Elephas maximus indicus: one gene and its partners. The protein of the gene in region 1 purifies or fractionates together with the protein of each later gene. This does not show direct contact. Links are inferred from orthologs where the notes say so. Each region holds a gene or a part of one and is shown in the gene's direction. Other genes may lie near its edges.

What was found.
Region 2: the proteins of PRPF8 (region 1) and DHX15 fractionate together in Homo sapiens (co-fractionation; 3 studies listed by BioGRID, with this or other methods). This does not show direct contact. The link is inferred for Elephas maximus indicus from reciprocal best matches to the Homo sapiens genes PRPF8 and DHX15.
Region 3: the proteins of PRPF8 (region 1) and SF3B4 purify together in Homo sapiens (affinity purification with mass spectrometry; 4 studies listed by BioGRID and IntAct, with this or other methods). This does not show direct contact. The link is inferred for Elephas maximus indicus from reciprocal best matches to the Homo sapiens genes PRPF8 and SF3B4.
Region 4: the proteins of PRPF8 (region 1) and CRNKL1 fractionate together in Homo sapiens (co-fractionation; 3 studies listed by BioGRID, with this or other methods). This does not show direct contact. The link is inferred for Elephas maximus indicus from reciprocal best matches to the Homo sapiens genes PRPF8 and CRNKL1.

Annotation. Positions count from the first base shown.
Region 1 is NC_064837.1:20,023,662-20,031,141, forward strand, and holds the start of PRPF8 (pre-mRNA-processing-splicing factor 8), read left to right. Parts: upstream 1-4,468; 5' UTR 4,469-4,541; exon of another isoform or gene 4,542-4,548; intron 4,549-4,721; 5' UTR 4,722-4,732; coding exon 4,733-4,832; intron 4,833-5,372; coding exon 5,373-5,541; intron 5,542-6,633; coding exon 6,634-6,798; intron 6,799-6,884; coding exon 6,885-7,103; intron 7,104-7,228; coding exon 7,229-7,441; intron 7,442-7,480. UniProt on the Homo sapiens protein: Plays a role in pre-mRNA splicing as core component of precatalytic, catalytic and postcatalytic spliceosomal complexes, both of the predominant U2-type spliceosome and the minor U12-type spliceosome.
Region 2 is NC_064823.1:138,877,530-138,885,078, forward strand, and holds the start of DHX15 (ATP-dependent RNA helicase DHX15), read left to right. Parts: upstream 1-4,548; 5' UTR 4,549-4,716; coding exon 4,717-4,787; intron 4,788-7,549.
Region 3 is NC_064821.1:184,069,574-184,076,651, reverse strand, and holds the start of SF3B4 (splicing factor 3B subunit 4), read left to right. Parts: upstream 1-4,071; 5' UTR 4,072-4,121; coding exon 4,122-4,155; intron 4,156-4,616; coding exon 4,617-4,745; intron 4,746-5,010; coding exon 5,011-5,553; intron 5,554-5,866; coding exon 5,867-6,073; intron 6,074-7,078. UniProt on the Homo sapiens protein: Component of the 17S U2 SnRNP complex of the spliceosome, a large ribonucleoprotein complex that removes introns from transcribed pre-mRNAs.
Region 4 is NC_064843.1:61,128,874-61,136,699, reverse strand, and holds the start of CRNKL1 (crooked neck-like protein 1), read left to right. Parts: upstream 1-4,825; 5' UTR 4,826-4,932; coding exon 4,933-4,983; intron 4,984-5,963; coding exon 5,964-6,116; intron 6,117-7,143; coding exon 7,144-7,235; intron 7,236-7,826. UniProt on the Homo sapiens protein: Involved in pre-mRNA splicing process. As a component of the minor spliceosome, involved in the splicing of U12-type introns in pre-mRNAs.

The DNA of each region.
Region 1 (7,480 bases):
GGTGCTCAACTCTCTCACTCTATGCATCAGCCAGCCAACTGCAGCAGTCTGCCGGTCCTGTGCTGCTGCCATCTCATGCCACTGCCATCTCATGCCACTGCCATCTCCAGTGTTACAGCTCTGTCTCCTGGGTCTAGGAGGTTTTCAGCACAGGTATGCTTAGGACAAAGGATGGACTCTGCTCCTGGCTCTTCTTGATGGTAGTGAGGCCTCCCCTCAACCTTTGGGATTGGCTCTTTTCAAGCCTTTTTGTTTTTAGGATGACAAAACTGACCAATTCCCTCAAGGTTTCCATGCACTTTATTTGCATTAGCAGGCTGTCCAATATCCGCAAGGGTTCCATACACCTTATTTGCATAGTCCCAGCCAATCATTTTAATGGGATTTACAAGTCCATGGCCAGAAGACCATATAAAAGCGATTCATTGCACCGCATGAGGTAATAGTAAGACCAATCTCATTGGATTATTGTAACCATAAAATGAACTAATTCATGTAAAGTTGTTAGAGAGAACCTGGCACACAGTTCATGTAATTAGGCATGTTATTCACTTTTTGAGCTTGGGTTTCTCATCAGTAAAATAGGGATAGTAATAGTGCTTACCATGTAAGATTGAGGATTTAATAAGCTTATTTATTTATTAACTTTTTACTCTGAAATAATTTTAGCTCACATAGAAGTTGCAAAAATAGCATGGAGAGCCTAAAGATAGGCAGAAAGATTAATAGAATAGTCCAGAAACAAAAGGTCAATTGATTTTCAACAAAGGAGCCAAGGCAATTCAATGGGGGGAAGAACAGTCTTTTCAGCAAATAGTAATAGGACAACTGAATATCCACATGCAAAAGAATGAATTTGGACCACTACCTCACACTATATACAACAATTAACTTGAAGTGAATTATAGAACTATATTTAAGAACTAAAACTGTAAAACTCTTAGAAGACAACATGAGCATATGTTCCTGATTTGTGTAACACAATTATTTCTAAGATATGAGGCCAAAACCACAAGTGATAAAACAGAAGATTGACAAGCTGGGCCTTATTCAAACTAGAAACTTCTGTGCTTCAAAGGGTACCATCGAGAAAGTGAAAAGACATTTAATAACCAAATCTCAGAAGTGCCATCCCACCACTTTTGCCATATTGTCCTGTTAGAATTGAGTCGGTAAGTCCAGCTACTTCCAAGGGAAGTAAATACTAAGGGGCAGGGAATACAAGGGGATAAAACCACGAGGTAGGAATCACTGAGAGCCATCTCCAAGGCTGCCTACTACACTGGAAGAGGGAGAGGGGAGTGGGGTGGCCATAAGGTTTATGAACAGACCAAAGTTCATGTTTTGGAGTGTCTGGGGATCTAAAAAGCTGCTGTTGGACAGGTCAGCACGAGGCAAGGATAGAGAAGCCAAGAGGTCAAATCACGCCATGTCTTGGCTGCAAAAAAAGAAAGTGAAAAGACAATTCACAGAATGGGAGAAAAAAATTTTCAAAATGTGTATCTAGAATATATAAATAAGTCCTAGAACTCAATAATAAAAAGACAACCAAATTATAAAATGGGCAAAGGATCTGAATGGACGTTTCCTGGAAGAAGATATACAAACGGCCAATAAAACACAGAAGAAGATGCTCAACATCGTAGAAATTAGGGAAATGCAAATCAAAACCACAATACGATACAACTGCATGTAAACCAGAATGGCTACAATATAAACACAGATAATAACAATTGTTGATGAGGTTACAGAGAAATCACAACCCTCATGAACTGCTGGTGGGTATGTAAAATGGTGCAACAGCTTTGAAAAACAGTCTGGCAGCTTCTCAAAAGGTTAAACATAGAGTTACCACATGACCCAGCAATTCCACTCCTGGATACATATGCAAGAGAAATGAAAACATATGTCTAAGCAAAAACTTGTATAAATATTCACAGCAACATTATTCACAGTGGGCAGAAAGTGGAAACAACCTAAATCCTCATTAACTGACTGGATAAATGTGCTATATCTATACAATGTAATATTATTTGGTAATACAAATGAATGACCTACTGATAGGCTACAATATGGAATGAACCTCAAAAGCATTATGCTAAGTGAAAGAAGCCAGTCATTTATACGAAATGTCATGAATAGGCAAATCTATAGAAATAGAAAGTAGATTAGTGGTTGCCTAGGGCTGAAGGGTATGAGGGGAAAGGAAATGGAAGTCAGTGCTAATGGGAACAAAGGTTCTTCTAGGGATGATGAGAATGTTCTGGAATTAGTGGCGGTAATTGCATAAGTGTAAATATACTAAAAATCATTGAATTGTACACTTAAATTGGGTGAGCTTTATGGTATGTAAACCGCATCCCAATAATTTTGTTAAAAAATAATAGAGAGAATTCCTGCATACGCTTCACCCAGCTTGATAACTTCTTACATAACCATAGCAGGGACAATCAAAACAAGAAAAGAGCAACTACAGGAAATTGATATTGGTACAATACTACTGGTGAAATTACAAACCATATTAGATTTCACCCCTGCTTAGAACAATGCCTGGCACATAGTGAACCTTGTACGGGTGTGAAGGACGTCACTGCAATGATCATGATGAAAATCATAACGATGCTGGACCAATCACAGCCAGGTTGGTCTGCTCGCTGTTCTCAGAGCATGCCACCTTAGTTCCTGTTTCTAAGTGCTTAGTCTACTGGTAAGGGTACAAATCACCTGAGACTCCCTTTTCCTTCCCCTTTATTTCCCCCATCAAATCATTCACACAGTGGCATCTCCTAGGGGGGTGGGGTGGGTGCTGACCGCACCTGGTGACACTGTCAAAGGGGGTGACACCAAAATGACTGTCTATAAAATTTTTGTGCAGGGTTTCAGCAAAAATTTATGATTTTTTATAAAAATATCTCTGTAGTTAGTTATAACAATAACATTTTTCATAAGTCCAGCTTACATGTATCAATATACCTACAAGGCTAAAATTCTATGCTAATTTACTTTTTTAATGCCCTCGGTAGCACTGGGGGTTCATGCCCTTGGTCAGCGCTGTCATTATTACCCAATCACAATGATGATTCGAATCACGTGGACTGCACATGCTACAAGAACTGCTGTTTTTTGTTGCTGGTGTTTTTATAGTTCCTGGTTTTGTCAAATTTTCTGGTGTTTTAGCTACAATATTGTGGTAATTAGTATTTGTGAACCTATACAAATAGCTTTTTTGAGAACAAAGTAGTAATAAAGGGAAAAGAGGGAGTGATATATGGGAATGATGATTTACAAGTATCTCTAGTACAAAAAACATTCCTAAGGATTCCTTGTGGTCTGGTATGGGGGGAGGTCCATGGCAGGGGTGACACTGTGAGTTACTGCATTGGGTGACACTGACCCTAGTGACCTGCTGGATTCACATCCATGATCTCTGTAAAAACTTCTTTAATAATTCTCCTCCCTTCTCGGAATGTATGAACACCCATACCGACCAGCACTTGCCTGTTCTCTAGCTTGCATTTTTCTCTAATTATTTCACATTTGAGTTCTAAGTTTCCATTAGACCGAGAGGGTGTGTAGGCTACACTACCTTCAAATCCCCCACAATAAGCTCGGTGGGAATTCCAACAAACTTGTCTATTGACTGAGTCAGATTCAAAGTTTTTACAGAAACAGAGCTGCAAAGGGCGGAGCAAGAGGGACGGAATGTGAAACGAGGATGGCAGGAGATGGAGAGCAATTCAGGCAGCAAGACAGAATCTGGGCAAGTCAAGAAGCATTTATAGGGTGTCCACTGTACTCCATGGGGTGCCCATTACACTCCATAGTGTAATGAAAATCATTGCCAGAGAGAGAAAAGAGGAATAGAGAGGGAGGGGGTAAAGACACCCAACAATGGAGTTCCCCACGGTATCTTCTGCAGTCAGGGTGAAAAGCCCTACTCCGGGACTCTCATCACACAGCATTTGTTAACAGCCTGCGTTCTAGTCTGACTTCCCCGCTAACCTGTGAGCTCTGTGAGAGCTTGCGGTTCGCTCTTCCCCTGGTATATCCCCAATGCCTGGTACTTTGTGGGGACTCTATAGATGGTCCAATGAACGAACAAAGGACTGATGGACCCGGAACTAGTCCTGCATCTCAAATCTACATTTATGAAAAACAGACTCAGAACAATGTGCAATTTTGACAAATTGAAACTCTGAAGCTCTAGTCTCTCCTTCCTCACACTAGAACGCGAAGCGCCAACTAGACGAAGTCTACCACAGGCCCCAAAATCAACCTCTGAAAATACGGGAGGCGGGGCTTGTGCCTACCCCTCCACAACCCCTTGAGTTCAAGTCCTTTCCGCATATGCACCCGCCCCCTTAACCCGGCGCGCAGTTCTAATTGGTGAGTTCTCTAATCCATCTGAGAATCTGGTCGCCTATTGGGTTAACTGCTAAACCCGCTTGCGCATCTTCCGGCGTTGGGAACGCAGAGCGGACGTAGCTTTGCCGCCATTGCGCTGCGGGAAGAGCGGCCGTCTGAGCGAGGGGGCTGTGGGGGTGCGTGGTAGGCTTTAAGGGCCGGACTGAGCGGCGGGAGGTGTTGGGCCGGGTTGGGTGCACTCTGCACAAGGCGGGGCTGCAGGGGCTGGGGAGCAGTCTCCGGGACGCGTTCATGTTGCGCCTCTTCTGGGCCCAGGCCCTATTGCTCGTTGATTGTTCACCCCCTCCGTCCCCCAGATTCTCCAGGCATGGCTGGAGTATTTCCTTACCGGGGGCCGGGTAACCCGGTGCCCGGCCCTTTAGCCCCGCTGCCGGACTACATGTCGGAGGAGAAGCTGCAGGAGAAAGGTGAGGAAAGTGTGCCGGGATGACGCGCGCGGGCCCCGAGACTTAGGGGCCGGTGTGCGCGCGTGCGCGCGGGGGGTTTGGAAAGCCTTTCCTGGGGCAACCTAGAAAGTTTCCCCCCCACCGCTTGTCAGGTCATTACCGGTAGATGTGGACTCCCTTTTTAGCCCTATTTATTTTTCAACTAGTGAAGTATTTTTAAGCGTTTGTTATTTGTAGGAGCTGATCTAAGTAATGGGGAATATAATAGCGATGAGGACAAAGCTGTTGCCTCTACGGATTAAATTGCAGTGAGGGAGATAGACAATAAAAAACTTAAAAGTCTGTAAAACATAAGTCGAAAGACGAAAAAACAAAAGATAAAGCACAATGAGTTGACAAAAGAATTGGTGGAGATTGTTCTTTCTAGATGGGGAAGTCACCTTCTCCACATCTGGGTGCCCCGCCCCCCTCACAGGCCCGGACAGGTGCTTACCCTAGGGCAGGAGATGGGGATCATTAGGCTAAGGGAGTGCAGTTTTTCAAACTGAGATGCCTTTGTAGCCCGAAAATGGCAGCAATTGCAGGCCAAGCGCTACGCAGAAAAGCGGAAATTTGGGTTTGTGGATGCTCAGAAGGAAGACATGCCTCCAGAACATGTTAGAAAGATTATTCGAGACCATGGAGACATGACCAACAGGAAGTTTCGCCATGACAAAAGGGTCTACTTGGGGTAAGGAACATCTGGAATTATTTCATTTGGAGTTTAGCTCCTTTACTTTCTCGCCGCCCTATAGGTTGCAGTGCTAGATAGCTGCTCTATCATTTGGGGACAGGACTCTACAATGACAGCCATCTTGGCGTTTGTAGAGAAAGAAGGAAACCACTAGGATTCTGTGACAATTTGCAGGTTTTCCAGTTATGCTCTTTATTGCTCTGATTTTTCTTCTTTATCTGGGGCTGGGGCTTTAATTTGTCTTTTTGGTGCTTTGGCTTTTCTTCATATGTTCCTGTCATTGAATGGATTGAAGTCCAGAGTGGGACACTTTGTACTTTTAGCTGTCTTAAAACCTCAATGACCAAAATTCTGAGGTTTGAGATACTTAGTGGCACAATGATTAAGAACTGGGCTGCTAACCAAAAGGTGGGCAGTTTGAATCCACCAGCTGCTCCTTGGAAACCCTACAGGGCAGTTCTAGTCTGTCCTATAGGGTCACTATGAGTTGGGATTGACCCGACGGCAGTGGGTTTGGTTTTTTTGGTTTGAGGTCTGTATATTCTCAGGTACAAATGCCTTAGCAAATTCCTGTCCCATTTGGACATAAAAATGTTAGCCAGCTAATGAACTGGTCTGAGGCAAAAATATATATATATTTTAAATTATGCTAGATTCTAAGGATGTAACGGTCAAGAAGGCAGTAACGATCTCTGCCTTCATAGAACTAACAGTCTAGTGGCATGACAGACGTGAAATGGTTACAATGAAGTATGATGAATATTTTATTTTTGTTACTTGTGGGAAGGTACAGAAATAATAAAATGTGAAAAGCTGGACAACAAAGAGGGTGTTGTTTTGTTGCTTTAAAGGGACTACTATCCAATATTGCAGGACCGTAAAGTTTAAGGGGGAAGGTGGTGTAATGTGAGGTTGGAGAGGGTAAGACATGTTTCTGATCCTGGAGGGCTTAGGTGTGCTAAGTTTGGGAGTTTGGACTGTAAGGCAGTGTTTTCTGTGGAATGTGGTACTGTGATACCATGTGGGTTCTCTGCTGAGTGGCGGAACACCTTGTCATGCTTGTTAATTTTTCTTTTCCTAATGCCACAGTGCCCTAAAGTACATGCCCCATGCAGTCCTCAAGCTTCTGGAGAACATGCCCATGCCTTGGGAGCAGATTCGGGATGTGCCTGTGCTGTACCACATCACTGGAGCTATTTCCTTCGTCAATGAGATTCCCTGGGTTATTGAGCCTGTCTACATCTCCCAGTGGGGGTGAGAAGGGCTGGAATATGGTGTGTGGTGGTGGTGTTGGCTGAAGGGGCAGTGAGTAGAAGTTGTGTAATGTTCTTGACTTCCAGGTCGATGTGGATTATGATGCGTCGAGAAAAGAGAGACAGGAGGCATTTTAAGAGGATGCGTTTCCCCCCTTTTGATGATGAGGAGCCACCCTTGGACTATGCTGACAATATTCTAGATGTTGAGCCACTTGAGGCCATTCAGCTAGAGCTGGACCCAGAGGAGGATGCCCCTGTGTTGGACTGGTTCTACGACCACCAGCCATTAAGGGATAGCAGGAAGTGAGTGATGGTTGGAGTTACTCTATAAGAGTTCTAGAAGCCTCGGAGTCCCGGGTGAGCAGTAGGTGGTATGGCTCTGCTAGCTGGTATACTTACCTGACTTGGTCCCCTTTTTTTAACCCTAGGTATGTGAATGGTTCCACTTACCAGCGTTGGCAGTTCACACTGCCCATGATGTCCACTCTCTACCGCCTGGCCAATCAGCTCCTGACAGACTTGGTAGATGACAACTACTTCTATCTGTTTGATCTAAAGGCCTTCTTTACCTCCAAGGCACTTAATATGGCCATTCCTGGAGGCCCCAAATTTGAACCTCTTGTTCGAGACATCAACCTGCAGTAAGTTGGAGAGAGTGAGGATTTTAGCCCTTTAGGCCT
Region 2 (7,549 bases), on another chromosome or scaffold:
CAGGAAAACTCCCATTACATTGGATCAGGGCTGTGATCTGAGTGAGGGTGTTGCATCCCACCCTAATTCTCTTTAACATAACCTAATCTTGCCTAATTAACCACAGGCAGAGATTAGGATTTACAATGCATAGGAAAATTACATCAGATCACAAAACGGAGGAGAACCACACAATACTGGGAATCATGGCTTAGCCATGCTGACACATATTTTGGGGGGACACAATTCAATCCATGATATTTTACTTTTTGGCCCCCAAAATTCATGTCCTTGCCACATGTAAAATACATTCAGCTCCCATCATATCATAGCAAAAGTCTTAAATCAACTCCAAATCCAAAATCTCATCTTCTACAAAATTCCTCTTCATCTGTGAAACCTAGAATACAAGGTATCTGCTTCCAGAGTACTACGGTGGAACAGCCAAAAGCTAGACATTTCCATTACAAATGGAAGAAACTTGTCTTAGTCATCTAGTGCTGCCATAACGGAAATATCACAAGTGGATGGCTTTAACAAAGAGAAATTTATTTTCTCATAGTCTAGTAGGTTACAAGTCCAAATTCAGGGTATTGGCTCCAGGGGAAGGCTTTCTCTCTCTTTTGGCTATGGACGAAGGTCCTTGTCCTCAATCTTCCCATAGTCAAGGAGCTTCTCAGGCGCACGGACCCCTGGCCCAAAGGATGCACTCTGCTCCTGGTGCTGCTTTCTTGGTGGTATGAGGTCCTCAACTCTCTGCTTGCTTCCGTTTCCTTTGATCTCTTGGGAGATAAAAGGTGGTACAGGTCACATCCCAGGGAAACTTCCTTTACCTTGGATCAGGGAGGTAACCCGAGTTAAGGGTGGTGTTACAATCCCACTCTAATTCTCTCAACATAAAATTACAATCACAAAATGGAGGACAACCACACAATACACAATACTGGGAATCATGGCCTAACCAAGTTGACACATATTTTGGGGGGGATACAAAACTGAAGGGAAAGAAGGGATAACAAAACCTAGCAAGTCAAAAATCCAGCAGAACAATTTACACTAGCTCTCAAGGCTTGAAAATAATTCTCTTTTCTCTGAGACCATCTAGGCAATGGCCCTGCCCTCCAGACTCTGAGTGTTGGCCACACTCTCCGGATTCTGAGCGGAGGCCCCTCGGCCCTGGGCTTCAGCTCAGTCTTCCAGGCCCACTGGAACAGCAACTATGCCCCCTTGCATTTGTTGTTGCTGCTGTTGTTAAGTGCCGTCGAGTCAGCTCCAACTCATAGCGACCCTATGTACAGCAGCACAAAACTGTCTGGTCCTGCGCCATTGCATTTGGGCAGCCTTGTTTTTCTAGCCCAACTGAGCGGCGACCCTACCTACTCTGCCCCAGCAGACCCTGTCCCTCTGAACCTCAGGCATGGCAGCCCTGCCCCCTCAGCTTTGGACAGTGGATCTGGCCCCATCCCACTGGCGCTCGTGAGAGGCAGCCCAACACTCCGGAATCAAGTTGATGAAGATCTGATTTTTTGAAACCTAGGAGGCTATGGCCCTATCATTTGAAACCCTGAAGGTTATGGCTCCACCCTTTGAGACAACTCTCCTCATATCCTTCTGAATCCTCGCCAGAATTGCCTTTGATGTCCATAATTCCACGAAAAGTCTCTTCAAGGCAATCTAGGCATTTACTACTAGACACTTTAAAACTCTTCCAGCATCTACCCATTACTCAGTTCAAAACCGCTTCCACATTTTAGGTATCTGTTAGAGCAGTATCCCAGTTTTCTGTTACCACATTCGTAGTTATCATCGAGTGCTGCTATAACAGAAATACCACAAGAGGATGCCTTTAACAAAGAGAAATTTATTAACTCACAGTCTAGAAGTCTGAATTCAGGGTGCCAGCTCCAGGGCAAGTCTTTCTCTGTCTGTTTTGGGGGAAAGTAATTGTCATCAATCTTCACCTGGCCTAGGAGCTTCTTAGCACAGGAACCTGGGTCCAAAGCATGCACTCCACTCCCAGAGCTTCTTTCTTGGTGGCATGAGGTCCTCATCTCTCTGTTCACTTCTCTCCCGTTTTATCTCTTGCAATATAAAAACTGACGCAAGCCACATCCCAGGGAAATTCCCCTTACATTGGATCAGGGCTGTGACCTGAGTGTGGGTGTTACATCCCACCCTAATCCTCTTTAACATAACCTAATCTTGCCTCATTAACCACCGGCAGAGAGTAGGATCTACAACACATAGGAAAATTGCATCAGATCCTAAAATGGAGGACAACCACACAATACTGGGAATCACGGCCTAGCCAAGCTGACACTCATTTTCAGGGGACACAATTCAATCCATGACAATGTTGTCGTTATTGTTAGTTGCTGTCAAGTTGATTCTCATGCATGGCAACCTTGTGTGTGCAGCATAGAACCGCTCCACAGGGTTTTTAAGGCTGTGACTTTTTGCTAGGCCTGTCTTTCGAGGCACCTCCGGGTGGGTTTGAACTGCAAACCTTTAGGCTAGTAGTCAAGTATTTAACCATTTTTGCCATCCAGGGACTCCTAAATGCTTTATACACATTAACTATTATCATTACCATTCATTACTTTAGGTTGGGAGATAACCCTGGCTTGCAATCTGGAGCTGGATAGCTGCATAAAACATTCCCTCCAGGTGAGTAAATCCATGCCATAGGTCAGATACTAGATCAGAGGGTTGTCTAGTAGACAAAGAGTAAGAGTAAAGGTAATAAATATTCTCTGGCAACAAGCTGTGGGTCCTGGTGGGTGGCCCTTCTTTACTCTAGAGTCAGTTTTGTCTGAAAATCTAGGGTAGAGCATCTAGACTCAGAGCTCTGCTCCTCTTCCCAGAAAGTACAAACATCCTGGCAGATTCTGGCCCTTAGTTGTCTTTATTCCGGGTTCCAGAAAGGCCACTATCTTTGGTAAATATGACCTTTCTTCAGTAATTCATGTTACAACACAATTGATTAGGTTACAGGTTTCTTTAGATACATCCTAGGCCCAAGGAAAAAGGTCTCATCACCTTGGTTTCAGTTCTTCATTTACGAAGGCTCTTTGCACACTTCTGAGTGGCTGACTCCTCTTAGGCCGGAGCACTTCTGAAGGCAGAATTCCAACCTTTTCCGTTTTTTTTTTAGAGCATGTTATTGTAGCTCTCCAACTGGGAACTTGGAGACCTGAGGATGAAATAGTTAAAGTGAACTCTGAATTTTAATTCTGTCTTTGATACTAACTGGCTGTGTGAATTTGGTCATGACCTAGTGGCTCAGGTGGTTAAGATATTGGCTGTGAACCGATAAGGTCAATGTTCCAAATTCACCAGCCGCTCCTTGGGAACCCTATGGGAATCAACCCGACGGCAATGGGGTTTTAAAATTAAGTGGAAAGAGAAAATCAGCTGGAAATTCTTTCCCAGGTTTACAATTCAGTGATCATACATTGTGATCTCTGACAAAAGCCAATCCACTGTTAATGTACATTTAGGGTAGAAACTTGCACTGAGTATTTTATAAGTGAAAAGAAGATATCCAGTTCTCTTGGTGCTGACTTTGGAATGTGTGTTTGGTAGAAAAAAATAAAAACCCTATTTTTCAGTGTTCAATATTTAAGTTGTATTTAATCTTCTCACTTGCAGTGCTAAGGATTTGATAGAACCAGAGCTTGGCCTTCCAAGACAGCTAGAGTCAATTGCATGAACTACAGGAGTCACCCAGCTGGGTTTGGTCCATGGCTCTTTTTCTTGTGCATTTCTTTCTTGAATGGACACAACCCAGGAAGAAGGGGAGAGGTCCACAAAAGGCACCAGAGGCATCTTGCTCCACTAGTTTGCTGTTGCTTTGGGTACAGCACTATTGACTCTGCGATTTGGGGCACATTTCATAACCGCTCTCAGCTTTAGCTTCCACGCCTATAAAATAACATCTACCGTGCAGGGTTACCGTAAGAGTGAGGTAAAGAGGTAGGATTAACGCTGTCACAAGTGCAAAACAGGCATTAAAAAAAAAAAAAAAAAGCTAATTATCCCCTTACTGCCAATTTTCTCTACTCCAACAAAACTTTTATAGCCCAAATGCATGTTGTCCGTGTTGGGTAGAGAAAGCGCAAAATGGATCATGGCAAGTCATGACATCTTCTCATCTCAGTTTTCTCTCTGCAATTGAGTGTTTAGCACAGTAGCTACAAGTTCTAGATTTGGAGTTTTAGATCAGGTTCCAGTCCTGGCTTGGCTGGTCTCAGATTGCCCTAAAGCCAAGACAATACAGATAGGTAGGATTTCCTAACTAGGACTAGACTTCCTCCCTTTCAATTTCCTAAATCAGAGCGGGACGGTGAGACAGAAGCGGAGCCTCAAGCGCCTCCGTCTCACGGCTCTTTACACCCTCTCAGACTCGGAAAGCGCCGGGAATAGGGAGGCGTCAGGCGGGGCGCGGGGTGGGCGGGCCAGAGCGTTGGTGGGCGGGGCCAGAGTTGCCGCCTCCGAGAGTCGTGCGCGTGCACTACGCACGCAAGGACGCACAGTACGTACGCTGCGGAAGCGCGCGCGCAGGCCCAGCCCTCGTCGCCGCCGCCATTTTAGCTCCTGGTTCCGGCCGCACGGTGTAGGCTGTTGTAGCGGGAGGGGTGGGGGTTCTCCAAAGTAGCTGCCCTCGACTGCGGCGCTACAGCCACTGGCTTCTCTTTTTTCTCCTTCTTGGTAACCACCCGCTCGAAGAGTACGAAGATGTCCAAGCGGCACCGGTTGGACCTGGGGGAGGATTACCCCTCCGGCAAGAAGCGTGCGGGGACCGATGGGTAAGCCAGGCCGGGGGCGCGAGGCAGCGGCTCGGGCTTTGTTGGAGCCGCGGCGGGCCGGCGGGGAGCAGGCCAGGGCCGGCCTGACCGAGAGGGCTCCGGAGCTCGAGTCTTTGTTTCCCTCTGGGCGGAGGAAAGCGGCGCCACTCTCCGCGGTCGGCCCAGCAAGGACGCGGGGAATGTGTGTGTGTGGCTGGGCCGCCGCCCGCCACCGTCGGGTAGGTGGAGGGGCCTGTTGTGGCCACGAGGACGTATCTGACGGGCCGATTAGAGCTCGACTCGAGGGGGGCTGGCGGGAGGGACCCGCGGACCTCGTGGTTCGGGTTCCCGAGTAAGGCCTGGAGCCGGGGCGGGGGGGTAAGGGGGGAGGGCGCGGCGAGAGTATTCGCTTCCAAGGGCACCAGGCACTTCTCAGGCCGAGGGACCGGGGAGTGGACCTTGGGGAGTGGCTGGATCTCAGGAAGGGAGAGTCAGAGAGTGTAAAGAAGCGCCTGGGTTCTTGTGTAGGCTGGGATGGGGGTGGCGGGAGTTGAGTGTGAGACGTGCAAACGAGGAGTTCTCGGGGGAAGGGAGAGTAGAGGGCCTGTCGAAAGGGGAACGTGGAGTACACCTGGCGGGCTGGAAGGCTGGTGGGATGGAGAAGGCTACGTTTATAGTTTGGCGGGAGGGAGCGTGCCTCGGTCCATTCAAACACTTCAAAGACACTAGACAAACTTCCGCTCTCTGCCTACGCTCCCGCCATCTCCTTTATTTCCTGCTTTAGTTAAAGCATTGGCATCGGAAATCAGTGGGGTAGGGATAGAAGGCGTTCTTTCCCCCCCCCCATAAGTTATTTTCTATTGTTTTTTCTGCTGTTCTTTATAAGTAGCTTTTGAAAAAACGCTTTTCAAAAAATGGTTTTAATTACGGCAAAATATTGCCCCGTGGGGAGGTTGTTTGGGACTTGAAATACAGACTTACTGTTTCAGATAACTTTCCTTTCCCTTAGTCCTTTTTTAAAGGTGCATTAGTAATTGCATTAAAGTCATTTCTTGTTCAATTTTTTTTTTTATCCCGAAAGTACAGAGATCTCTTTGGATAATTCAGGCAAAAACACAATGTCCTGAATGTTCACATTCCTTGGATGATTTTATCTTATCGTGTGTGTATGTGTGTGTGTACAGAATAACTGTGTTAAACCATCTGTGTAGCTTTGGGGAATTGTTGACCAGAAGCCCATGATCTGGATTGATTTGTAGGTCTCTGCTGTGTCCAGTAAATGCCAGGATAGGGTGTACTTTTTAATGCAGTTCCGTATATTGAATATATAAAGCAGAAGTATGTCACATTTTAATGTTGAAAAGTATTTAGTTTACAGTATTAGACAGTTTTCTCCCTAGGCTGCCCCTCCCCCTCCAAAAAAAAAAAAAACACCCAGCAAAACTTGATGGCGTTGAAGCAACATGTCACAGACCCTCAGAGCTGAAGTGACTTCAGAGCCTCACTCAAGGAGTGGGAAAAGGAGACCCAGAGTTGTTAAGGTGGTTTCTGCAGGTTTACGCAGTTGAATGCCGGATGTAGAACCCTGAGCTTCTGATTTTTCACTCTGAGCTTTTTCCGTTACAACATACAGCCTATGGCTGTAGTTTAAAGTCACTGCAGCCGATTTTAATGACTTGTAAAGTTGGGAACACTTGGTTCTTGATGCCTGTGAAGCAAAAATAAATTGCTTGTTATCTGGCTGAGATGGAACAAACATGTTTCACAAGACTTTAGTTTGGCACAAAATATTTATATCCCTGTGTATGTACACCACTAAAAATGCTTTCTTTGGGGCTAGAGGTCTCATCTGTATATGTGGTTGCTCCCTTTCCCCTGCAAAATGAATGTCTGTCCCTTTTTGTTTCTAGGTGGTGCCCTTATGATTCCCTTCAATAGTGCTTGACTTCTGTCTGTAGGTGAAAAAGAGTTCATATTTGGAATAATGCCCAAGTCCTGAAATTCTGGAGGGCTGTTTTTATACGTTCATATCTTGAATAATTCATTTTTCATAGAACTAGTATTCTTTAGCAATGAGCTTACAGCGTTCATCAGTGCTGGAGTGTGTTTCATACTTGGCAACTGAAGTCACTTTTGGTGACTGCCTTTTCAAATGCAATCCTGCAGATTTAAAAAAAAACCGGGATGGGTTTTATCAGAACATAGGCTTGTCAGTCTGTGAGTGGCACTGCATATAACTGTCCCATTTTCCCATTCTTGCAGTGCTGCAAATGGAGAGTGATTCAGTGGGAGATTTCACTCATTCATGCTCCCAAACTATTTGTGACTTTGTTTTCTTCTGGCGTGTTTTAACTTCAGGGCCAGATAGAGAAGTTGGAGGTTTATGTTATATACCCTAGCCTTATTCCTTTTTCCCTCATCCCACAAAATCTTCTAAAATTTATCCCCCCAAAAACTATTGTTGGAGTGGAAAAACTCTTTGAAAGTAGGGGTATTTTTCTCTTTAATTTTAGTTACTTCCTGGTAAAAGCTTTTCCTGTTCATTGTGTAAAAGTGAAACGCACTAATATATATAGAGAGTACATATTGTGCACCCGGCATTGTTCTAGGTGCTATATGTATAAACATTTTCACTACAGACTTACGGTGTAGGTGAAGTAACTTGCCCTAGGGAATGTAAGAAGTCCATATACAGAGGTATAAAGAAAACAGCAAAAAATTCCTGAAAATATCCCCAGCTTTAATTCTTTGAGGAACATTTTTGATCTCTGCATGTTTACTCA
Region 3 (7,078 bases), on another chromosome or scaffold:
CCCCTTGTAGGACTAGCTTCTTCTTCAGTTACCAGAAACTACCCATGAGCTCTAATTCTTACCCTTCCATACTACCTCTGCCTCCCCACTGTAGTTTGTCATCCCTAACCCTACGATTCTCGATTCTCGCCCCTCTGCTCCCTCCCTTCAATCACAGCATGGGTGCTGAGGTTGGGGTGGGAAGGGCAATGCCAAAGCTGGTTTGACAAATGTGACTGTGCCTCCTACATTGAGCTGGGTTTTTCTACTCAGGTGGAGTCTATGAAGTGAGTCATTCAAGATCTTTATTTTCTCTTCACTCCTTCTATGTGCCCTCTCAATCCTACCTAACCCAAAATGTTTCTCCTCTGTGCCTCTCACTTCTCCTTGCCATGTTTCCTCTTCCCATTCTCTCCTGCCCTAGTTTCTTGGCCCCTTTTCTTTGCTCCTTCCCTCTCTTTATCACCCAGAGCTCGGTGATCGTGATCTCAATGGCCTCCTCTCTTCACTCGTCCAGCTGCTTTCAGCCCCCGAAGCCCGAACATTGCTTGGCTTTCAATCACTAGTACAACGAGAGTGGGTGGCAGCTGGACACCCCTTCCTGACCCGGCTTGGGGGAACTGGGGCCAGTGAGGAGGTGAGGATTTGGGAGTGTATTGGGGGGTATTACTAAAGAAGTAAGGGGATGAGAATAATACATAGTATAATCCATTGTAGGAGAATTCGGTCAGAGGATCCTAAGGTTAGGCTGAGATTAGACAGAGACCAAAATGAGAGAGGTCCCACAATCCCCTACTACCCTCAGTTCAGATTTCCATTCCCTGACCTCCTTAGTGCCCCGTTCCTGTGTCCCCCACCCCTCATCATTTTGTGATCTTCCCCCTTAAGTCTTCACCATCTCTTCTAATCTCTTAATTTCCCTCTTCTCAGGCTCCAGTGTTTCTCCTCTTCCTTGATTGTGTCTGGCAGCTCCTCCAGCAGTTTCCAGCTGAGTTTGAATTCTCTGAGTTTTTCCTTCTTGCTCTTCATGACAGTGTCAGAGTCCCTGACACCCTTACGTTCCTGAGAGATAATCCCTGGGAGCGTGGAAAGCAGAGTGGACAGGTCAGTGACTTCCATTTCTGACCTGTCTTTTTTTTTTCCCGTTGAGATGTACTATCTGAAGTTTAGCCTTGATTTGTTTTGAGTAAAGAAGTGTTGGGTGGGGATGAGGAGGTTGATGCTCATTCTCAAGACTGGACTTTTGCCTTATATTTGATTTTTGGAGTAAGAGGTGAGCGTTTCATGATGATTTCTCTTTAGATTTGGGAAAAGGACTGTATTTTTTGTTTGTTTAACCATCCCTTTTCTTGCTTCCTCTGTTCAGTTCAGCTCCTATACACAAGTGTACACCCCACGGAACTCCCAGCCCCTACCTGGGAACTCTGTTAACCAGCAGCTCTCTGTCTGGGACTGGGGTTTACGCTACAGCAATGAACAAATCCTACAATTCCATAATCCTGGCTATGACCCAGAGCACTGCCCAGATTCCTGGCTCCGTAGACGACAGGTGAGGTGTCAGTGATTTCTAAATTCCCCTGACTTTCCCACAGATTCATCCCACTAGACGGGGAAAAGTGGGAAGACAGTATCTTAGTTGCCCATGGGGAGCTATCCCACTCCTGTTATGCAGGTGTCACTTATGAGCCCTGACTGTCCCCAGAAAGACAGAAACCCTAGAATGGCATAGAAGGCATCCTTTCTGTCCTTCTCATCTCTGTTTATTATTCTTCCTGTCTCATGCATTCACTTTTACAGGTTTCCCTAAATCAACTTCAGTCAGTCCTGAGGCCTAGTTTGAACCCTAATAAGGAGAGTAGATAAACAGTTCTCAGGGAGAGGCTTGTAATTCCAATCACTAGTGCAGTGGCAGCTGATGCCTCTTCCTGGCCTAACTTGGGAAAACTGGGTAGTCTGGTTTCTAGGTTGCCAAATGATTTCTCTTTCCCCCCCAGTCACGCTTCATGGTTCCTGGACCCCCCAGTTCTGTGTGGCTCTTCTCTAGAGGGGCCCTGACACCCCTTAATCACCTCTGTCCTTGGCGGGACAGTCCCTCCCTACTGGCCGTCTCTTCTCGTTGGCTTCCTCGACTAGCCATCTCCACTGAAAGCCTGGCTGACCAGGAGTGGGGGCTCCCCTCACATTGGGGGGCTTGCCCTTTACCCCCAGGGCTACTGCTTCCTGGAAATCTGGGACCCCAGATCAGGCTCTGGAAACGCTGCTACCTGAGGGGAAGGCCTGAAGTCCAGGTGAGAAGGGAAGACAGAGGTTGGGAGTGGGAGAAAGGGCTTGACTGTTGAACCAGATGAGCCGGAGTTGGAATGGCAAGGGGCTAGGGGGAGGGGCTGGAAAGTGAGGTACCACTCCTGTTGGTATCAAACTGGGTAGTTTTGGGAGGGCGGGGGAAACTGCTTGTGGCTTAGATCAAGTGGAACCCCAGGCACAGTTGGAAGGAGAAGGAGAATTAAAGACACCGGACGTAGTGTATCTTAGGAGAGGGCTAGAACTGCAATAATATTCCTCTTACCCCTCTTTGCCCCATCCCCAGATGGGCCTGTCAGCTCCCACAATCTCTGGCCTCCAGGATGAGCTATCCCATCTTCAGGAGCTATTAAGGAAATGGACGCCAAGACCACCAAGACTATCTCCTGAAGATCACTCTAAGAAGAGAGACCCAAATACCATTCTCTCTCAACCCTGCTGAAACTGCTGGCATTGTCACAGACAGGGAAGAGGCCTGCCTGGGTTGAGGGAGGGTTCTGTCTAATCCTGATTTTTCTTATCTGGTTTTGCTGCCTCAGCTTCCACACTCCAGCCCTTAAACAAGCTTACTTAGCAGGCCTGAGTTTCCATTGCAGGGGGTGGCGCTAACCTTCTCCAACTCTTGTCCTGTGTGTTTTGATTCCTCGAGATTTTTTGTTTGCTTGTTTCTCGTGATTTGAAGAAATCAGTAAACAAAATCTATAATGTGATCTCCCATTTTTTTCAAGGCATTACCACCTCTTTTGGATATCAGCTGTTAAATTGTGAGATCAGAGATGCTGGTCATCATCCCAACAAGATGGCCTAGTGACCTCATTCTTACCCCTCTTGCTGCTTAATTCCAATTAATATTTCTTATAGTTCTCCATGAGAATGGGGTGGATATGGGAGACACCCTGCCTCCTCCAGCTGTGTATTTTTGCAGTGACATTTGTATTTAAAAGGTTGATTAAAGCACGGTATTTATACACGTTGCTGGCATTTATCTGAATAGATGATTCTAGGTAGCAAAGAGTGGTGGGTGGAAGGTGGGTGTGACCCAAGAGAGGAAGGCACCCACCATATTATTACGAGATAAGAGAATGGAGTCAGGTGAGGGTCTGCAGAATTCACATGTAATTTGGCAAAAGGGGTTCATTTCTCTGTGCCTCCCACTTTAGGGGTAGATGTGGCAAGAGCTGGGGAGCATATCAAGAGTTGTTGTTGGGCTAGTGTGTTCAGGCGGCTGAGACAAGGCTCTGGGCTTCAATCCCAGCCACCCCTTGGCTTTGGTGTCCCATCATCCCCCTGCAATAACGGCTAGCCGAGCTTCGACGTCACTCCCCGCTCAGACATTCCGCAATACCCGCCCGAGGGAAAACAAAATACCTCAAGCCCAGGCCGGAGCTGTGAAGCCGAATCTGGCGAGGGCTGCGAGCCAAGGTGGAAGGCAGCCGAGCCCTTGGGCGCGGGTTCCTCAACACTTTTCTGAAGGAAAAAAGATCACCTGGCTACAAGATACATGAAAAGCAGTTTTGTTTCTAGCTTTCAAATTTACATTTTCGGGAGCAGCTGCATGGTTTAACCTCTAGCACTGCTTTACGGGGTCTGAACGTTTCCGTTTCCCCTCCCAGCTCGGGCGCTCGCAGGCGCGGCCCGGAGCAAGACCAACACCCCACAGCAAGAGTATCCCAAGCCGCGCCCAATCTCGGCGCCTCCTAAGATGGCTCCGGCCGCTTCCGGCTCCTCTCCTGCCGCGGCCGCGCCCGCCACCCTACCACGGCCTCTGCCCCGGAAGTGGAAGACGCGACTGCGGTCAGGGGGCGGGGCTGCTGCTTGGAGACGGCGGGAGCTCGTTCGCCATGGCGGCCGGGCCGATCTCTGAGAGGAATCAGGGTAACTAGAGGGGACGAGCCCGGAATGGGCACAGGGGAGCTGGGAGGCTCCGACTAGAGCCAGCAGGGTCACTGCCGGGGCGAGTGACTGGATCGCCTCGTAGAGCGCGGGACCGGCAGCCATGCCTGCCGGGGGCGGGGTGGTCGGGTGCTTGCTGAGGCCTGTATGTGTGATGCCTTCTGTGCCCAATTTCCTCTTGCCTTCCCACTCAAAAAAATACAAAGTCCACGGAGAAAGGTAGAATTTTCAATAGAACACGGTGTTGGACTTCCGAAGATTCTCTAGGTCCTGGGAAGAAGGGGATTTAAGGGCTTGATCTAACATCTTTTTTTTTTTTTCTTTTTGCTCTTATCCCCTAAACCCACCCCCAGTTATCTTGCCTGAATTGCATTTTCATATTCTTGTCCCCTTCATTTCTTGTTATACTCTCACACCTACCTTAACCTTCACTTTTCCTTCAGATGCTACTGTGTACGTGGGGGGCCTGGATGAGAAGGTTAGCGAACCACTGTTATGGGAGCTGTTTCTCCAGGCAGGGCCTGTAGTCAACACCCACATGCCAAAGGATAGAGTCACTGGCCAGCACCAAGGTGAGTACCTAGCAAGACATGCATTTGTGTATTGAGGGGATGTAGTGGTCCTGGTGGGCTCTGTAGTAGTCACAGTGTTTGTAAGGAGTAGCGTTTAAAGAATCCTTTCTTTTGAACCTCAGTTCATAATTTGTTTCCAGAACCATTCTCATTGAAGTGAGGTTTTTTTTTTTTTCTTTCTTGTTTGTGCCTTGGTGGGGGATGAGTTTTACCCCCTTTCGAGTCTCTTCACTTCATTTGTTAACCTTCCCTTTTTTATACACAGGTTATGGCTTTGTGGAATTCTTAAGTGAGGAAGATGCTGACTATGCCATTAAGATCATGAACATGATCAAACTCTATGGGAAGCCAATACGGGTGAACAAAGCATCAGCTCACAACAAAAACCTGGATGTAGGGGCCAACATTTTCATTGGGAACCTGGACCCAGAGATTGACGAGAAGCTGCTTTATGATACATTCAGCGCCTTTGGGGTCATCTTACAAACCCCCAAGATTATGCGGGACCCTGACACAGGCAACTCCAAGGGTTATGCCTTTATTAATTTTGCTTCATTTGATGCTTCGGATGCAGCGATTGAGGCCATGAATGGGCAGTACCTATGTAACCGCCCTATCACTGTGTCTTATGCCTTTAAGAAGGACTCTAAGGGTGAGCGCCATGGCTCAGCAGCTGAACGACTTCTGGCAGCCCAAAACCCACTCTCCCAGGCTGACCGTCCTCACCAGCTGTTTGCAGATGCACCCCCTCCACCGTCTGCCCCCAATCCTGTGGTATCATCGTTGGGGTCTGGGCTTCCTCCGCCAGGTAAAGCTTTTGATTCAAAATGTGTTTGTCTTGGGGTTGAGGGGACAGAAGGGTGGAAAAGAACGGAAAAAAGGACAGCAAGTCAGTGGGTGATGAGGGCATTGGGGGGGGTGATGGTTGTGGTGTGGAAGAAAGTTGTTGGGTTTCTCCAGGAGAGTGAAGTTGTTTGAGTTGTCTAACACTGTTGCTGGCTTTAAGAGAGCTGGGAAGAGGGGAAAAGAGGTCATCCTTCTTGGAGAGGTCTGATTGGCACAAGCTCTCTAAAGATATCATCTTCTCAGTACTAGTAACTCTTCTTCCATTTCTTCTTTAGGTATGCCTCCTCCTGGCTCTTTCCCACCCCCAGTACCACCTCCTGGAGCCCTTCCACCCGGTATACCCCCAGCCATGCCGCCGCCACCTATGCCTCCTGGGGCTGGAGGACATGGCCCCCCATCAGCAGGAACCCCTGGGGCTGGACATCCTGCACATGGACATTCACATCCTCATCCATTCCCACCAGGTGGGATGCCCCATCCAGGTGAGTGTTCTTTGCTGGGAAAAGAAGGGATGAGCTTGGTAGAGGGGTTTTGTTATCACTCCTGCTGTTGCCTTTTGTCCCTCAACAAAAATAGGTAGTTCCAGAGCTCTCCTTTTTTTTATGTAAACAAAAACAAAATACTTTATATTGTTTACACTAACATGTGCTGCCACGGTTCCATTTCTTATTTAAGTTTTCCTGAAGAGTAACCTAAACTTGCAACTTTTTGTTTCCTTAACTTTTACTTGTATTCTTTCCTTTCATTTCCACCCCAAAAGTGACCTATTTCCAAACCTAGGGGACCCTTCTTTTTTGCTCTGACCTCTGCTGTACATGAAACTGGCCGTGTTCTTTTGTTTGAAATTCTTGTCTGGTTTGGCTTTTGTTTTTCTGGATTCTCCTCCACCTCTCTCTGACTTCTCAATCTCAGCCTCCTTCATAGGCTCCTTTTTCCCTGCCTGCACCTAGGATCTTGTGCTTGGTTCTCTTTTCCGCGTATTTTTATATTTTTCATTATTCATTGATACTTTCTAGGTCTGTTTCTTTAGTCCATGGTTATTAACATTCCAGACCCATAATTCTCCTGTTTAATGGACAGCTAGCTGTACTGTGCTACCCCTTTGGTACCTTAAACCAAACATGACTAAAAATGAAATTTTCTACTCCTTCCCTTCAGACCTACTTTTTCTGTCATATTCTTTGTTTTCAGATGCTTAATTCATAAATTTGGGAGCTGTATTAGACTATCCTCTATTACCCTGTTCTTAGAATCTCTGGCATCTACCCACATTGCCAGTGTCCTGGTTCAAGCCCTCATTCTTTTATTTCACACCTAAGTTATCATAGCAATCGTGTAACTGGTCACTTTCACTCCAGTTTTCTCTGCCTTTGATCTGTCTTTCATAGAATAATTTTTCTAAAACATGGGTGTTCACATACCCTTGGGTTAAAATTCTTCTGTTTTTCCCTTTTACCTGTAGAGTAAAATCCAAATTCATTACCAGG
Region 4 (7,826 bases), on another chromosome or scaffold:
TCCAAATTGTCAAAAAAGAAGTAAAAGTATCTCTGTTTGCAGATGACATGATCTTATACACAGAAAAACCTAAAGAATCTACACAAGAAAACTACTGAAACTAATAGAAGAGTTTGTCAGAGTATCAGGATACAAGATAAACATACATGAATCAGTTGGATTCCTCTATACCAAAAAAGAGAGCAACTAAGAGGAAATCACCAAATCAATACCATTAGCAACGGCCCCTAAGAAGATAAAATACTCAGGAATAAATCTAACCAAGGATGTAAAAGACCTGTACAAAGAAAACTATAAGACACAACTGCAAGAAAGCAAAAGAGACGTAAATCTGTCCACATATGAGCAGCTGATATTTGACAAAGGCCCAAAGTCAGTTAAATGGGGAAAAGACAGTCTGTTTAACAAATGGTGCTGGCATAACTGGATATCCAGCTGGAAAAAAATTAAACAAGACCCATGTATCACACCACGCACAAAAACCAACTCAAAATGGATCAAGGACCTAAATATGAAATCTAAAATGATAAAGATCATGGAAGAAAAAACAGAGACAATGCCAGGAGCCCTAACACATGGCACAAACAGTATACAAAACATTACCAGAACTGTATGAAAACTAGAAGAGAAATTAGATAACTGGAAGCTCCTAAGAGTCAAACATTTATGCTCATCCAAAGACTTTACCAAAAGAGTAAAAATATTACCCACAGATTGGGAAAAAGTTTTTAGCTATAACATTTCTGATCAGCAGCTGATCTCTAAAATCTACATGTTACTACAAAAACTCAACTGCAAAAAGACAAATAACTCAATGAAAAAATGTGCAAAGGATATGAACAGGCACTTCACTAAAGAAGACATTCAGGTAGCCATCACACAAACAGATAAATGCACACTCATGTTCACTGCTGCACTGTTTACAATAGCAAAAAGATGGATGCAGCCAAGGTGTCCATCAATGGATAGATAAATTATGGTATATTCACACAATGGAATACTATGCATCGATAAAGAACAACAATGAATCTGTGAAACATTTCATAACATGGAGGAATTTGGAAGGCATTATGCTGAGGGATATTAGTCAATTCCAAAAGGACAAATATCGGATAAGACCACCATTACAAGAACTCAAAAAATAGTTTAAGCATAGATGAAAATATTGGTTGATGGTTACAAGAGGAGGGAGGGTAGGAGAGGGGTATTCATTAATTAGATAGTAGATAAGAACTACTTTAGGTGAAGGGAAAGACAACACACAATACAGGTGAGATCAGCACAACTGGACTAAACTAAAAGCAAAGAAATTTCCTGAATAAATTGAACGCTTCGAAGTCCAGCATAGGGTGGGGGTTTGGGGACCATGGCTCCAGGGGACATCTAAGTCAATTGGCACAATAAAATCTATTAAGAAAACATACTGCATTCCACTTTGGAGAGTGGCACCTGGGGTCTTAAATGCTAGCAACCAGCCATCTAACATGCATCAATTGGTCTCAACCCACCTGGAGCAAAGGAGAATGAAGAACACCACGGACACAAGGTAATTACCAGCCCAAGAGACAGAAAGGGCCACATAAACCAGAGACTACATCAGCCTGAGACCAGAACCAGATGGTGCCTGGGTACAATCGATGACTGCCCTGGCAAGGAACACAACAGAAAACCCCTGAGGAAGCAGGAGAGCAGTGGGATGCAGACTTCAAATTCTCGTAAAAAGACCAGACTTAATGGTTTGACTGAGACTAGAAGGACTCCGGAGGTCATGGTCCCCAGGCTTTCTCTAGCCTAAGACAGGAACCATTGCCAAAGCCAACTCTTCAGACAGGGATTGGACTGGACTATGGGATAGAAAATGATACTGGTGAAGAGCGAGCTTCTTGGATCAAGTAGACACATGAGACTATGAGGGCAGCTCCCATCTGGAGGGGAGATGGGAGGACAGAGGGGGTCAGAAGCTGACCAAATGGACACAAAAATAGAGAGTGGAGGGAAGGAGTGTGCCGTCTCATTAGTGGGAGAGCAACTAGGAGTATATAGCAAGGTGTATATAAAATTTTGTATAAGAGGCTGACTTGACTTGTAAACTTTCACTTAAAGCAAAATAAAATTAAAAAAAAAAGCTTGTGAGTGGCCATGTAAGATACAACTATTGGTCTCTACTCATCCAGAGCAAAAGAGAAAGAAGGAAACCAAAGACTCAAAGAAGAAATTAATCTACAGGACTAACAATCTACATGAACCATGGTCTCATCTACCCTGAGACCAGAAGAAATACATGGTGCCCAGTTACCACTACCAGTCATTCTTATCAGGGCCCAAATGGATGGATTCTTAGAGAACAGGAGAAAAATGTGGAACAGAGACCAAATTTTTAAAAAGTCCCAACTTACTGGACTGGTTGAGACTAGAGGATTCCCAAGACTGGCACCCTAAGAAACTCTTTAAGCCTTGAAATGAAACCATCCCCTGAGGGAAAACAGAGTGGCTCATAAAATAAAAGGAAACCCTGGTGGCATAGTGGTGCCTTTAAAAAGTCATCTATGAGACCAAATGGTCAACAATCACTCTAAACAAAGATGAAGAGGTTAGGGGGCAGGGAAACCAGATTACTGGAAACGAAATTAATAAGAATGTTGACACATTGTGAAAAATATAACTAATGAACTAATGTAACTAATATAGAAACCGTTAAATGAGAACCTAATTTGCTATGTAAACTCCCACTGAAAACGCAATAAAATATTATTTTAAAAAAATGAGGAAGAAATAAGACACCTGTGAAAATATTGACGACCTACGAAAATGTTAGAAGTTAAACAGGCACCACAAGAGAAATAGTTTCATTATGTTTTGCCCAATTAATGATTAACTGCTTAAAAAAATACTCTTGTTTTAAAAAATGAAGGTGATATAAAGACACTTTCATACAAAAAAACCTTGAGAGAGGTTACCATTCAAAGAACCCAGTTAAGAGAACTAGTAAAAGATGTATTCCAGAACGAATAAAATTAAAATCAGAAACGAGTGGAATACAAGATGCACTGCTGAGAGAAAAAAGGTAACATGCAGGTATAGCTAAATAAGCACTGATGGCAAAAAGAAAAGTAATAATAATGATAATTTTGCTTAAAAACCAGGTTGTACTAAACAAGCAGACAAAAAAAACATGTGAGAGGAAAGAATGGTGATTAGGAAGTAAAGCATTTTAAGGTGTTTGTATCTCTGAGAGGAGGCTAAAACCAAAAAAACAAACCCATTGCTATTGAGTAGATTCCAACTCATAGCCACCCTATAGTACATAGCAGAACTGCCCCATAGGGTTTCTAAGAAGGGGCTGGTGGATTCCAACTGCCAGCCTTTTGGTTAGCAGCTCAGCTCTAAACCACTGTGCCAGTGCCATTAGGGGTGATTAACTTTGTTAGATCAACTATGCATAGTTACAAATTGAAGGGAAGTCATTAAACATGTTTTTATTTTAATAGCTATTTCTTTATTTTGTTAGGTGACTTCTTTTATGATAAAAAAAATTATGATAAAAAAAATTATGATAGTGACATAAAATCTCTAACTTTTTAATGTGAGATAACTTAAAAATATTTAAGTAATATAAGTAAGTGGTACAAAGCTGTGGCAAATATTTTGATGTTTTTTAACTTAAAAATGTTTAAGTAATATAAGTAAGTGGTACAAAGCTGTGGCAAATATTTTGATGTTAGTTAATAATAACTGTAATTTAAGAAATCTGCATAAAACATTTTTTGAAAGCAGTATCTGCATAGGTAGGACATGCTTGAAATTACTACTTACATAAATATATAAATACATATTTTGGAAAACACCGAAAGAAACTTGCAACTGTCAAAATTCTCTTAACCGTTTGGCTTGCACAGAATTAATTTTTCTGTTGTTGAAGGCAGGTCAATAATTATACCAGATAGCATTATTAAGCACTTTACACAGGTTTTCTTTTTAATCCTGTGAAATAGGTATTGTTATACTTGTTTTACAGTCGAAGACCTTGAGGCTAAAATGATTTAAGAGGCACACTCGCAGAGAATTTAAACATTGGTTTATATGACCACGAGGCTGGATGGTTTGCTAGTCACTTTGCTAATTGATTTTCATTCCTTTTTTTTTTTTTTTTTAATATCTGGCTTTAAAATGTCTTCCATTATTTTAACTTCTAAGCATTAGAGTTAATTATTTGGGTTCCAAATCAAAACCAAACAGTTGCCGTCGAGTCGATTCCAACCCACAGCGACCCTACAGGACAGAGTAGAACTGCCCCATAGGGTTTCCCAGGAGCGGCTGCTGGATTCAAACTGGTGACCGTTTGATCAGCTGCCAAGCTCCTAACCACTGTGCCACCAAGGCTCTCATCTTGGGCACAACTGTCCAGAAACGAACAGGGAATGAACCTCAGGGACTACAACACCCAGAATGTAAAGCGGCGCTGGGCCGCCCAGGAACGCGGCACGTCGCCACTTGGCATGCTGGGAGTGGTAGTTTTCAGCCGGCCTCTCTTCCCCGTCCTTGAGACCTTCCAAATCGGAGCTAGCCGATGGCGCCTGGCAAAATCCACCGGCGCTGCCACTGTCATCTCAGTCCCGAAGTCCGACATGGGGATGCGCCTCGGACGCCCTAGGCCCAGTCTCCGCGTCCCTTCCTGTCAGGACGGCGCTACCCACCTCATCAGCAGCCCCAGGGCGCGCGCTCCTCCGCCAGCTCCGGGACGGACGCGCATCCCGTTACCACAGAAACGGCGCTTCCTGCGTCACGGCGCGTGCGAGAAGTCAAAGGTCAGCCAAGGTAGTTCCGCTTCCGGTTCCGGGGTTCTGCTTGTTGTCAAAAATCTTTGGTGGTGTCGGCCAGCCCTCCAGGCAACTTCGGGGATTCAGGGGTCTCCGGAGGCCCGCGGCTGCAGACATGGCGGCCTCCACCGCGGCCGGAAAGCAGCGGATCCCCAAAGTGGCTAAGGTGAGCCGCTGCTACCCAGAGGCCTTTGGGGGGCGGGCGGGAGGGGGGCTAGGAAAGGGGATTCCCCCCGGCCCAGCCTCCGCGCTGCCCTGGGCGAGGGAGTGTTGTCCTGGGTTAGGCCCATGTGGCATTCAATACTTTTTGTGCCTCAATTCCCTAAATTTTTGTCGGGCACCTCTTATGTAAAAAGAGCTGCGAAGAAAACAGTAATGAGCAGAGTCGGTATAAGAGAGCACCGTCCAATGGAAGTATAATGCGAGCCACTTACATAATTTTCAATACTCTTGTACCCACGTTAAAACATCAAAAATGAAATTAATGTTAATTGTTTAATCCAGTGTACCGAAATATTGTCATTTCGACACGTAATATTAAAAATTTTTGGTGGGGTAGTTTACTTTTTTTTTTTTTCCTTCATACTAAGTCTTCGAAATTTCCAGTCTCAATCTGGACTCCCCACAGGTGGCTTGTGACTAGCATGTTGGACAGCAGAGCTCTAAGACCTCACAAAGTTCACAGTCTAATGACGGGAACTTACTGAATATTGTCTTTGACTTGAAATAATATTAAAAATCAAACTGTTCTTTACCAAGGGCATTGAGATAAGTTGAAGAATCCCATAAGTGGAGGTTATAATAAGGAGCCCTGGTGGCACAGTGGTTAAGCACTTGGCTGCTAACCAGAAAGTCACAGTTCAAGGCTACCAACCACTCCATAGGAGAAAGATGTGGCAGTCTATTTCTGTAAAGATTACAGTCTTGGAAACCCTATGGGGGAGTTCTATTCTGTCCTATAGGGTCACTATGAATCAGAATGTAAGAGAAAAACAGGTTTTTTTTCTCTTCAGGCTCATAGAGAAACGGGAACATGTCATAATCAGGCTGTCTTGTAATAATGCTTATGAAGATCATAAGCTAAAAAGTGTTCATTTGTTTTGTAAACCTTGAGCACCTATATAGAAATGTCATTTGTCTTAAAAGGTGAAAAACAAAGCCCCGGCTGAGGTACAGATAACTGCTGAGCAGCTCCTAAGAGAAGCTAAAGAAAGAGAACTTGAGCTTCTTCCACCTCCACCTCAACAGAAGATCACAGATGAAGAAGAGTTAAACGATTACAAACTAAGGAAAAGGAAGGTCAGTCAATGTGTTACATTTCAGAGAGCCTATTAATATTGTTAGGAATTTATAGATCAGAATTTTAAAAGCTCCTCATTGATTAGAGAGTCTGTAAGATAAGAAGTTAGTGTTTCTAGCCATATGAATAATATAACTTCTGGTTACCAGATAATTGCATTTTGCTAAACTATCTAAATATGCCATGAGTTGTCTGTTTTAAAGCATAAAGGAATTAAATCCACCAGAAAGATAATTTTTGGTGCTACATTGAAGATGGAGCCCTGGTGGCATAGTGGTTAAGAGCTCAGCTGCTGAGCAAAAGGTCAACGCTCCAAATCCACCAGTCACCGCTTGGAAAATGGGGCAGTTCTCCTCTACCTGTAGGGTCGCTATGAATCGGAACCAAATTGACGGCACCTAACAACAACAACATTGAAGATAGGTGGAATTTTAACTGATGGAAACAACTGGCAGCCGTAAAAGGGAGTACTAGCAAGAAGGGCATACTAGTAAGGCTGCATCCTGGTCTTCTGTCTGTGCCACCTTCTGTGTTAATAGTTAAGACCTGGGAAAGGGCTAGGAAGACGCTTTGGGATATGATCTGACTTTCCCACCCTAAAATGTGGGATTGTTTTAAACCACTAAGCCTGTCATGTGTGCTTATTAGATATTTTCAATGAGTTATACATGAAGTTCTTAGACGTTACCAAGAAGACTTAAAGGTAATAGTCAAAAACATTTTCTTATTAGGAATACGTATAGGCTGAAGTATCAGTTAGTTGTCATAGGCAACAGGAGAAAATATCAATAATTACACTAATCTTTATATCTAAGATTTCACTTTCTTTGCATATAAGACTTCAAAGAAACACCTGTGATTCTTATCTTCTTTAGTGGGCTTTTTATTCTTCAAGGATTCCTGGATGTCATTTCTCTTAAATAAGAGTAGAATGAATGGCTTTTTTAATACAAGGATTAATAAACAAAGGATTATATCATTTTTAGCTGTCTTCCCTCTAGCTTGACGCTTTTTGCATTTCTCCAGACTTTTGAAGATAACATAAGGAAAAACAGAACCGTGATTAGTAACTGGATAAAGTATGCACAATGGGAAGAGAGTCTGAAGGAGATCCAGAGGTAAAATTAATGAGAGAGTGATTTTTTTATGTGTCATGGGCTAACAGATACAAAAAATTAGAAAAAATTAAAGCCCAGGTAAAGGTTGTGTCCCTCGTGGTTTTCCCGCGGGTTCTTTTCGTGGGCCTTGGGCAGTATGGACGGGTGGCCTACGGGAGATGGCAGCAGGAGCCTACACAGGTGGACGTCACCACCATCACAGCCTCTGTAACCAGAGAAGCTCAGTGTCAGCTGCTTTCTATACACTGAGAGTTTTTTAAAATTCCACTGAAATCCAGTAGCCAATAGGATAAAAATCTGAGTGCAATCTGTCATCATGACCTGGTCCTCCCTGTCATCTAGCCTCTCCCCGTTCTCTCAGCGTACCCTCTGATCCCACTGTACTTGCCATGCCCTGAACACTTCATGGCTCTTACCTGGGCGCTTGGCTGGCCTCCTGGTAAACAGACATTTTACTCACATTCTCAATTCTGAAGTTACCTACTACTTAGCCTTTCCCACCAGACATTTTCATTTGTTCGCTCTGCTTCCTTGGGCACAATTATCACATTATAATTACATGCCTGTCGGTCTTTTTATGAGACTTTGTAA